Rattus norvegicus: one gene and its partners. The protein of the gene in region 1 interacts with the protein of each later gene in a pairwise test. Links are inferred from orthologs where the notes say so. Each region holds a gene or a part of one and is shown on either strand. Other genes may lie near its edges. The genes, in order: Fosl1, Creb5 and Usf1.

What was found.
Region 2: the proteins of Fosl1 (region 1) and Creb5 interact in binary tests that used the Homo sapiens proteins (3 or more experiments, as listed by UniProt). The two-hybrid records come from large-scale screens. The link is inferred for Rattus norvegicus from reciprocal best matches to the Homo sapiens genes FOSL1 and CREB5.
Region 3: the proteins of Fosl1 (region 1) and Usf1 interact in binary tests that used the Homo sapiens proteins (3 or more experiments, as listed by UniProt). The link is inferred for Rattus norvegicus from reciprocal best matches to the Homo sapiens genes FOSL1 and USF1.

Annotation. Positions count from the first base shown.
Region 1 is NC_086019.1:212,189,852-212,193,007, reverse strand, and holds the end of Fosl1 (fos-related antigen 1), read right to left. Parts: intron 2,134-3,156; coding exon 2,026-2,133; intron 1,645-2,025; coding exon 1,228-1,644; 3' UTR 617-1,227; downstream 1-616.
Region 2 is NC_086022.1:83,881,092-83,884,743, reverse strand, and holds part of Creb5 (cyclic AMP-responsive element-binding protein 5), read right to left. Parts: intron 776-3,652; coding exon 603-775; intron 1-602. UniProt on the Homo sapiens protein: Binds to the cAMP response element and activates transcription.
Region 3 is NC_086031.1:86,376,555-86,380,306, reverse strand, and holds the start of Usf1 (upstream stimulatory factor 1), read right to left. Parts: upstream 2,546-3,752; 5' UTR 2,500-2,545; exon of another isoform or gene 1,856-2,499; intron 638-1,855; exon of another isoform or gene 602-637; intron 1-601.

The DNA of each region.
Region 1 (3,156 bases):
GGGGACTAATAAACTGGGAAGGAAGCAGAGCCTGAAGCCTGCCAGCTTGTGTCTGGAACTCGCCGGGGTTGGGAAGAGGGCGGAAACCCAGAGATGCGGTGCAGTTCCCATCGGCGGTGCTGCAGAGCTAGGGCTGACTCCCCATCACCTGGATTTGGGGTGGGATTTGAGACTGTGGTAGATCACTAACTCCCCCGATGGGCGCCAAGACAGGCCGAAATCCGGCCACTGAAGTGGCTCCAGCTCCCTTCCAGGCTCCTTCCTGTCCAAAACAATGGGACAGGAAGCAGGTGTTGGGGGCCTAAAGCCCACTGAGCCCGCCTGGTCAGATGGTGGAAGGATATACTGCCGTCCTTCCCTGCCCCCAGTCCTTAAGACAGAAGTAATGTGGGTTCCCATGGGGAAAATAATTGATAATCTTCTTTGCTTGCACTCCAAAGCATTCTCAATCTCTCAGTACAGGCAGAACAGAGGTAGCCCCATTCTTCAGGTGAGAATATTGAAGTCCAAAAACATATATGGCAGTTTCTTCAAGGTCACAGCTAAGACTGGAACCTGGAGCTCCTGTTCCAAATGGTTTCCTTTAGCCTCTGGATCCAACATGACAACTCAGACTAGAGCTTCAAGCCTTTTATTCCATTTTGGAAGGTTTGTATAAAAATAGTCTCTTTAGGAAAATAAATAGCAGCTGCCCTTGCTGTGGAGGCTTGGATACCCCAGAGCTAAAAGCTTCTCAGAGCTAGGGAGTACAGCTCAGCTCATCACAGAAGCTGTTGGTGCCTCCTGATCAGGAGGAGCCTACAGGGTGTCCTGGTGCTGCTGGCTGTTGGTGCTGTGTGAGTTAGTGTTCTAGGCTAGTTAAAGGGCACCTTCTATCTAGGCTTAGAGTAGGCTGGATAACATGAAGAAAGTGACATGGTGTGGGAAAGTGGTCTGCAAGGCATCAAAGGACCACTGGGGATCTACAAAGTCAGAGCTGCCAGGCTTACTCTGGCAGAGGGGACATATTTTCTCTGTATGCAAATTATGATAGGCCAGCTCTAGAGAAACAGTGAGCAGCTTTGGGGACCCCCAAGCTGGCTCTATATCAAAGCATAACATGTTTGTTCTACTTGAAAGAGATAAAAGACCTGCTGGTTTGGGGCATGGGTATGGTCCAGGCCTGCTGGATGAACAGGGAAAGGAGATGACAACGGGTAGCACCTGCAAGGGGTGTGGCTGGGTGCCTCACAAAGCCAGGAGTGTGGGAGAACCTAGGGGGTCGGAGGAGGGGTCACCACTGCTGCTGCTACTCTTTCGATGGGCTGAGGAACAAGGCTCTGGTGTGCTAGGATAGGTGAAAACCAGACTCGGAGTAAAAGGAGTCAGAGAGGGTGTGGTCATGAGCGTGGGGGTATGCAGTGCTTCCGGTTCAAGTACGGGTCCTGGAGAAAGGGAGATACAAGGCACTGGGCGGCAGGGGCCCGGTGGGCTACCCGCCCCACTCGTGCTGCTGGTACCACCTGTGTCCTTCTTGTCTTCTTCTGGGATTTTGCAGATGGGGCGATGGGCTTCCAGCACCAGCTCAAGGCGTTCCTTCTGCTTCTGCAGCTCTTCGATCTCACGCTGCAGCCCCGATTTCTCATCCTCCAACTTGTCGGTCTCCTTTACAGGATTAGCAGAAAGTTAGGAAAATGAAGGCTAAAGATCTCCAAGCCTCAGGCTGGAGTAGGGATTGTGCCTGGAATCCCCAACAAGTCTGGACTGCAACTCCCATGAGCCCCTGGGAGAAAATGGGCATGACTCCCATCAGGCCCAAGCGTCTTAGGAGATTTGCCTACCAACTAGGACTCTGCATTGAAGCCCAAGACAAACAATAGTTAAGCCACTTTCCCTTATCCTTTTTCCAGGACTTCCCCTCGGACAGGGAGGAAGGCAGAGTGTGGAAGAGTAACTTATTGGGTCTCTTATGTTCCTGGGAGCCGAGGCCCCTCTTAGGCTCGGTGGTTCCGGGCCTGGGGACCCTCTGTATCAGATGATGCTCACCGCCTGCAGGAAGTCTGTCAATTCCTTTCTTCGGTTTCTGCACTTAGCAGCTGCTAGCTTGTTCCGCTCTCGTCTCACCCTGCGGCGCTCTTCCTCCTCCGGGCTGATCTAGGTTGGGAGAGAAGGGGGACAATGAGGCTGACCCTGAGCCACCAGCTGCCCTGAGCTGGCCATCCAACTTTCCTTCAGCCTGTAGTTTAGGTACCCACACTCCACAGTTGTTTCTGTGTACCAGCGGCTGGTCACCTCATAGATGACATTCCCAGCCACACCTGGCTTTACTGCTGGTTTCTTTCCTGTAATGCTTTCCCTCTCCATAAACTTTGACCTTCCTCATCTTAGGACTGGACTAAGATGTTGGGACCCCAGGAGGCCTTCTCATCTCTCAGGCTGAAGTAGTCATCCCTCCTGAGTGTGTGAGACATGATTATCTCTTTTTTTTTTTTTTTTTTTTTTTTTTTTTTTTTGGTTCTTTTTTTTCCCGGAGCTGGGGACCGAACCCAGGGCCTTGCGCTTCCTAGGCAAGCGCTCTACCACTGAGCTAAATCCCCAACCCCGATTATCTCTTTTTACAGAACTCTCTCAGCCTTCTCATCTGTGGAAGATGAGATTTCTTTCCCCACAGGAGCTATGAATGGTAGAAGGTGCCCTTGAGTGCCAAAAGTTACTAGCAAAGCAATTTCTAGGACTTTCGTTTAGTGCTAGGGATCAAACCCATGGCCTGGTGCAGGCTAGCAAATGCTCTACCACTGAGTTACAGCCCTTACATAGGTTTTTTTTTTCCTGCTTTTCAGTTTTGTTTCTTTGTACTTTAGACAGAATCTCTGAGTAGCCCTGCCTGGCCTTGAAGTTGATTTATAGACCAGGCTAGCCTGGGACCCACAGAGACCCACCTGCCTCTACCACCCAGGTGAAGATGTGTGCTGCCACATCTGGCATGTGTCCCAGGCTGGCCTTAAACTCAACATGTAGGCAAGACTGGCCTCAGACCCCCATTCCTCGACCTCCACCTCCTAAGTGTTAGGAGCCTTGTGTCAGCCTCCGTCCCCCATCCCTTTGGTCTTCCCTGTGTAGATTCTTTTTGTTGTTGTTTGCTTTGTTTTTAAAGCAGGGTTTCTTTTCATAGCTCTG
Region 2 (3,652 bases), on another chromosome or scaffold:
AGCCCAAGACATGGATGTCAAGAGACTCCTACCAGTTTCCCTGAAGGTCTCAATATTGCCTTGTTCCATAAATGAGAGGGAAGGGCCCTACCTGCAATGTTTTGTCTGTTCCAGAAATAAGTATGGGCCAAGAAGGGCTAATGAGAAAGAAATAACAAGAAAGAGAGGTAGGAAAGAAAGACCAGGAAGAAAGGCAGCTGTGGGATATACAAGTGGCCCAGCTAAGCAGCTCCAAAACTCCTAGGCAGGGGTTTGTGGACGGGGCGCACTGCAAGGAGGAACCTGGGCTGCAGAACTTCTGCTGTTACCAAACATTTGTCCCGAGCAGTCTTCTGTGGTCAGCATAACACCACTATTTTTGTCTGCCATTCGCAAATCTTATTTGAAGAAATAATGTCACATAATGAATAGTTTTTCCCCTTGACATCTACGATCAAAATAGCTCTGAGGAAACGGAGACCCCCTTCTCTCATCCAAAGCATCACTCTGGCCTCTTGGCAGCGTCATACCAGACAGGAAAAACAAATCCAAGTACCCGAACGAGGGAGAATGTACAAACGGTTGCTCGAGCTCTCCCAGAGACAAAGAGGAAGTCTTCTTACCCGATCTGGCGGTTGGTGGAGGGAGCCTGCGTGATGACTGAGCTGGACTGGGGTGAAGGCATGGCTTGCTGAATCACAACACTGGTGTCGTGGTTGGGCATCCGTGAGCTGCCTAACTGGTGAGCTCCAGGCCCCGTCATGGTCCCACCAACTGTATTGTGCATGGAGATATTCTGCCCAGAGAAGACAGAGGAGAAAAGGTCAGAAAGAACCAACATTTGATCTACTCCCCAGCCCTCCAAGGCCAAAGCTGGAAATCTGATCATTTGCCTAAACAAAGTTAAAGCTTCTAGCAAGGCATAGGTCTTGCTGTATCTTGCTGTATCTGAACAGTTAAGAGGAAATAGCTACTTACCAGAGAGTAAAGCATACCTGAAAATGCCTTGACATTTGCTGAGCCACCCTGTCACCAGCCACCCTGAGGGAAGGCCCATGTGGTGGAAGGCGAGAAGGGTTAGTGTATACCTCATGTGACTGGGTGATGCACACTGCATTAGAAATTGGTAGGACAGGATGCTATGATCTGGTGGATTTCATTCATCTTGTTCTGTGTACGCATCATACCAGGTTGAGTTCCTTGCTCTCAGTACTACAATACCACAACCACATACCTTTTTGCCCAGGAATCTCATATGGATCTAGATTATAATCATTGGTGCTGAACAACCTATAAAATGTGTAGGTTTTAATGCAGGTTCTAAAATGTGATGGTTCTAATAGATGAAATTGGGGCCCTCGGGATCCAGTGTCAAGAATAATGTAACATATTTTTCTGTGTCTTCACAAAATCACCCTCTGACAGCCACGTGGAATAATGAAATATAGAACAGGGATCTTGTCATCCTGTGGGATGCTGGCATGTGGAGTGGAGTAGCTCTTCAACAGATGCTATTGCCCAGATGAACTCCAGACTCAATATCTGAGTCACACAACAGGCTACTGCCATGCATGGATTTCTGATGATTCTGATGGAAGCTATGGTGTTTGAAATAAGCTAGAATAAGACCGCGTTCAGTAGAAGAAGCAAGGCAGTGGGACAAGAAGAAAGGCACACCATGGCTGAAGAGGACTGATCAAGGCACGAGGGCTGAAATGTGACTAAGGCAGAGCCTGGCAAAGGAAGAGAAAATGCACGGCCATCAAGGCAACAGGCAAGAGTCTGAAGCAGAACCCTGTACAGGTAGGTACGGTGCTGGTCAGCCTAGAAGGGTAGGGAACTTCCAGCAGTCAATTGGACAATAGGTTGGAGATGCAGGGAAAGAAATGGAGTGTCACTTGCAATCCACTTGAGGAAAAAAAGTATGTATCTGTCCACACTTTGGTGTTAGCAAGAGTGAAAAAAAAATCAAAGGAGATCATGAAGTGGCCCTTGAATTTCTTCTGCAAAGAGCAGGATTTCCCGCACTATGTGTTAAATGATGGTGATAACATGTAAGTACTGGAGGTGGTTGCACCCATCACGAGGCACCTTTCCCTGGTTTGTGGTTTCTGAGCCCTGACCACACACTCTGTAAGGAGCCCAGATGGAAAACGGGCACCTGGCTTAGACTGAGAGTTGACTGTGTCGTCACGGGTCCCAAGGGCTCAGAAATACATACATATGGCCCCAAAGCTCCTCTTGCACACTGAAGGTTGTTCTGACGTGAGGAAACTCTGTGGCTAGGCACATGCAGAAGGAAGGAGATGGTGTGTAGAGACAGGGGGCCGTGCGGGCGGGGACTGGCTGCGTTTTCCATTATAGGATCTAAAGCTTCAGACGTCACCAAAATAATGGTGAAAATAAACATCATATGCTATTCCTCTCAAACGTGAACTTGAACATCCTTGCACCCCCAAGTCTAGACCAGGGTGTGGATGTTTTTGCATTGCTCACCTTCTCAAAGATACTCAAACATTTTCATATTTCTTATAATCACCAATATCTCAACGCTATATCTGAAGCCTAGAAGAATTCTGACTGTTTTGAAATTCTTTTTATTGTGCTGTTTTCACCGTGTATCACGAAAGCTGTGCAGTCTGGTGTTTCAAGTCACAGCTTTATAAGCACAGAGGAGAATATAAAATGTATGATGTCTCCGTAAGTTTCCCAGAACAGTTCTTTTTTGCCATCCCCAGATGCAGTTTCAAATCCAACCAGTGTAGCCCAAGCATCCCTCGTCTTTCTATATTCCCATGCCTTATTCCTCCAGCCCTTACCTAACCACTGTCATCTCCTTTCCTGTCATGCCGAGGTAGGTTCTCAATCTGTCAGTCTCGACCCCTTTGAGGTTGCCAATCAGATATCCTGCCTATCAGATATTCACATCACAATCACAACAGTAGCACAATTACAGCCGAGAAGTAGCAAATAGAATTTTGTGATTGATGTTCATCACAACATGAAGAACTGCATGAAACGGTCCCAACATTCGGAAGGTTGAGAACCTCTGTTGTCGTGGGAGACCCTTTTTACTCTTGCTTGGCTCTTCTGTCTCCCCCTTCCCATACACTACACCAAATGTGTAACCCACCACAGTCCACATGGCGCCCAGTGTGCTTGCCCACGCTCACTCAGTGGCTTCTGTGCTTTGAAGCAGCAGTGTTTGCAGCATCTGTGACAGATGTGGGACCCTCCCTACCAAATAGCTCATCTACCCATTTCTGTGCTCTCCTCCCACCTCTGGCATTCTTCTGCCTGCACTCTGATCTTACTCCATGTTTGACCTGTAATATTGTTTCCCTTTGTTTTGTTTTGACGCTGACACTGACGCTCTGAGGTTCTGACTCCGCCCTTCACCTCTCAGACTAGCCATTCTGTGGGAAATTTCCACACCTCTATAGTGATGGAAACCATTTCCTCCATAGGAGTTTTCATGAGATTGTACCTGTTCTTAATTTTATGAATATTATCTATTTCTTCTCTCACCTGAAATCACACTGGGTAGAAACTAAATCTGGTTTTGCTGTCCCCTGGGAATCCATCACCACATCCCAGGTGGGTGTGTGGTGAGCACAGAGGGGGTCAGTGACACACGGGACAGTATTCCTGGACTCTTCAGACTGTGGAGCCT
Region 3 (3,752 bases), on another chromosome or scaffold:
CTGAGTTCAAGGCTGGCCTGGGCTAGAGTTTTAGGGCAGCCAGGGCAACACAAAGAACCCGTATCTCAAACAAACCAAACCAAAACAGACAGACAAAAAGCAACTCCTGAAAGTTGTCCTGACCATCCCAGGTACCCAGCCCATCGCACACATGTATGTGCACGTACACACCATAAACATGTATGTGCACGTACACACCATAACCTGTCCGTCCGTCCGTCCTTCCTTCCTTCCTTTCTGAGACAGGGTTTCTCTTGTAGCCCTGATCCTCCTAGAACTCACTCTGTAGATCAGGTTGGCCTCTGAACTCAGAGATCCTGCCTGCCTCTGCCCACCTAGTGCTAGGATTAAAGGCATGGTCACCACCACTCAGCTGCTCCTCCATTTTCATCCCAACTCCTGGTGGCAAGGAGAAAGTTATCCTTGAAGACTGAGAAACAATGTGTCTCAGGGTGCGTATTTGAAGCTATTACAGATTATTACTAAAGCCATTATACTCGATGACAGCAGCTCCTTAGGAATAGCAAGGGCAAAGTTTAGACCACCACTATCCAAACTATTAACTAACACCCACCACATCATAACCAACCTACCTACCTACCTACGGTCCATCTGGTTCCAGCTTCTCAGACACAGACTGCAAAAAGAAATTCAAAGCTGGGAGGTAGTGGTTGGATCCTTTGATCCCAACACTCAGAAGGCAGAAGCAGGCAGATCTCGGAGTTCAAGGCCAGCCTGATCAACAGGGTGATCAACAGGGTGAGTTCTAGGACAGCCAGGGCTACACAGAGAAACCCTTTCTACAAAAAAACAAAAAAGAACATTCTAAAAAGACATTCTAGTCCTCACCAGGGGTTTTGGTGCACACAGTCCCAGCACTTAGGGGGCAGAGGCAGGTGATTCTCTGTGAGTTCAACGCCAGCTTGGTCTACAGAGTTTCAGGACAGCCAAGGCTATGTATAGAGAGATCCTGCTTCAAAATCAAGTAAGAACAGAAAATGCATTCCAGTCCTCTCTAAGAAGGGAAAAACTGACATGTTTTTTGCCACTGGGAAACCATCGCTAAACATAAAACTGAGGTTTGGCTCTTGGGCATCATTCTGCTATCAGGGCTCTTGTTTTGTGAGAGTCCAGATTTACAGCATCTGTTACAAACACCAGTGCCCAAGTGCATCATATTCAAGGCTTCTTTATTTTATTCAGCAAGGCTTCCTGTAGAGCAACACAGTTGCTAAAATGTTGCCATGACAACTCCAAATCAACTAAGCCTCAGGAGGAGGGGGGAAAAACCTCCAGGCTCAGGGTTCTGAAGAAGACAATGGGGGAGGAGTCCATCTACAATGTTCCTGCCTTAGGACTTTTGACAACCCGCCAGAGAAAAGGAAAAACAAAGGACTGTACAGACAGATGCCTCCAGAAAGAAACAGCTACACAGTACAAAGCAATAAAATAATCTCAACAAGAAAGAACAAGATTTTTAAAATGCTCTACCCGTATAATCCTCCAAACCTTTCTAATCCAAGGAAAATCTTAGTTTAGCGGATAATATGCCTTGGAAAGACCGTGTGCAAAGAAAACGGTAACATCATCATCAACAACAAAAACAACAACAAAAAGGAACTGAAAGTGAAACTGTCCGTACAAAGTAATGCTGCAAAGGGAGGCAGAGTCCGGGCTTGGGGACCACCTAGGTCTCCATCCTCTAACGGGAGGAACTCTTCCTCCTCCCAAGCTTGTTGCATGGCCAGCAGGAGGAGGCAATGAAAGAGAGGGCAAGGCACAGAAGGCAACTGTATAGCCCACAGCTGTCAGCGCAACTTCTGAGGCCACCCAGCAACGGCGTTAGGCTACTTACTCAAATCTTGGTTGTACATCCGGAAGCGTTTCCTGAGCATTAATAATATGTGACACGGAAATCAGCCTAGGATGTTGTGGTTTGCATGCTCAAAAAAAAAAGGAGGGCCCAGCAAACGTCCTCACCAAGCACAGACGCAAAGGCAGAAAGAAAAAAAAAAGAAATAAAAGAAACACGCACACAAATAGATCAAGTTCCCAAAGAATTCAGGCGCCGGGACCTTGCCTGAGAACGAGGCGTCTCCCTCCAGGCCCACCAACTAGTAGTAGGCGCTTGGGGACTTGAGCACCCGCCAGGCGCGAGCCCCACAGCCCGCGCGGTGACCCCGCCGGCCCAGCCCCGCTCGCCCACGCCCCAGCTGCTCCGCGGAGGAGAGACGGGTTAGGACGCCGGAGACCTCCCGAGGCCTGAGGCTCGCAGCTGAACACCGGGGGCGGGTGGGACGTGTGCACTCCAGGGCGGGGAGCGAGCCTGGCCCACAAAGCAGGGCAGGAGATAAAGAGCCAGGCACGGCCCCCTCCCCCAAAACAAAGGCTCCGTGCCCAGGCGTGGCCTTGCCTGAGAAAAATCTAGCAAAAACCAAAGGTGCCCCGCCTTGCCGATCCACCCCGTCTCCGGACTCTGGCCCGCTCCAACGCACTCACCGGCCCAGGCCGCTTCAGTCGCCAATTTCCCCCGGCAGCGTTCTCCGTCTTTGGATCTAGGTCTCTCCATAGACAGCTGCTCATGCGCAGTCCCAGCCTGCGGCCATATTGGTGAGGGGCGGAAGTGTGTCCTCGACCCGCCCAACCTACAGACAGCCCCAGAGCTGCCGCACTTCCGTTCACTTCAAACTTGATGCGGTCTAGAACCGACCTGGAGATGTGAGTTGATACGGGCTCAGAAGAGAAACAGTATCGTTGGGAACGTCGCTAGAGTCCTACTTGCTTTCAGCAAGAACCAGGAAAAAAAAAGAACGACTATATTATATTTCCATCTTTGTGGTAGGCGGAGCCTTTTTTTAGTTCCAGTCAAAGGAAGTAGAGGGAGAAACGGCGTTCTTAGGCGCCATCTTTCATAAGGGCAATTTGGGACGCCATCTTGGATCAGGGCATCATTTTGAGGGGTTTCCAAGTGGAGTTTGGGACATTTCTGGGCGTACGTGGATCTGAGTATATTCCTTTGTATTAGCGTCAACAATACTCTGAAGATCTTATAGCTTCCAGTTTACCTCATTTGTGTGACTATTTTGATTACCATTTTCCTGGGTGTATACCCAGAATGATTTTGGAATAGTGAAAACACCCAGAATGATTTTGGAATAGTGAAGTGTAATAGGTAGAATTCAGATTCTGAAGTCATTCGGACCCTGAACTGACACCCTTTTGTTTTTTGTTTTTTTTTTTTCTTTTGTTTCTTTGTTTTTTTCTTTGAGATAAGGTCTCTTTACATAGTCCTGAACTGCCTGTCCTACATAAATCATGCTGGACTCAATACACGAGATCTCCCCCCAACCCCTAACTGCTAGGATTAAAGACATGCCACCACACCTAGAAACGGCCATTTCTTGACTCTGAGATCTTTGATAAGCATTTTTACTTAGTTACAACTTAATCTCCTCAATGTCCCTGTAAAATTCGAATGCCAATTCACCTTCACCAAATTAGTGGATTGAATAAATTCAAGAGTTTTTAAGCATACAAATCTAGCCCAATTCCTGGCATTAGTTGAACATTATGTAAATACAGTTTTCTCTTCCCCATTTCTTGACCACCGTGAACCCAGTTCTACTTTCTAGCCACAGGTTTCCATGACAACTGAGGAAGAATATCTAAATAAGAAAAAACGAGATATGTACATTTTGGCAACAAATGTGATCCCTTTCACCCAAAACTTTAATAAAAGTAAGTACATACAC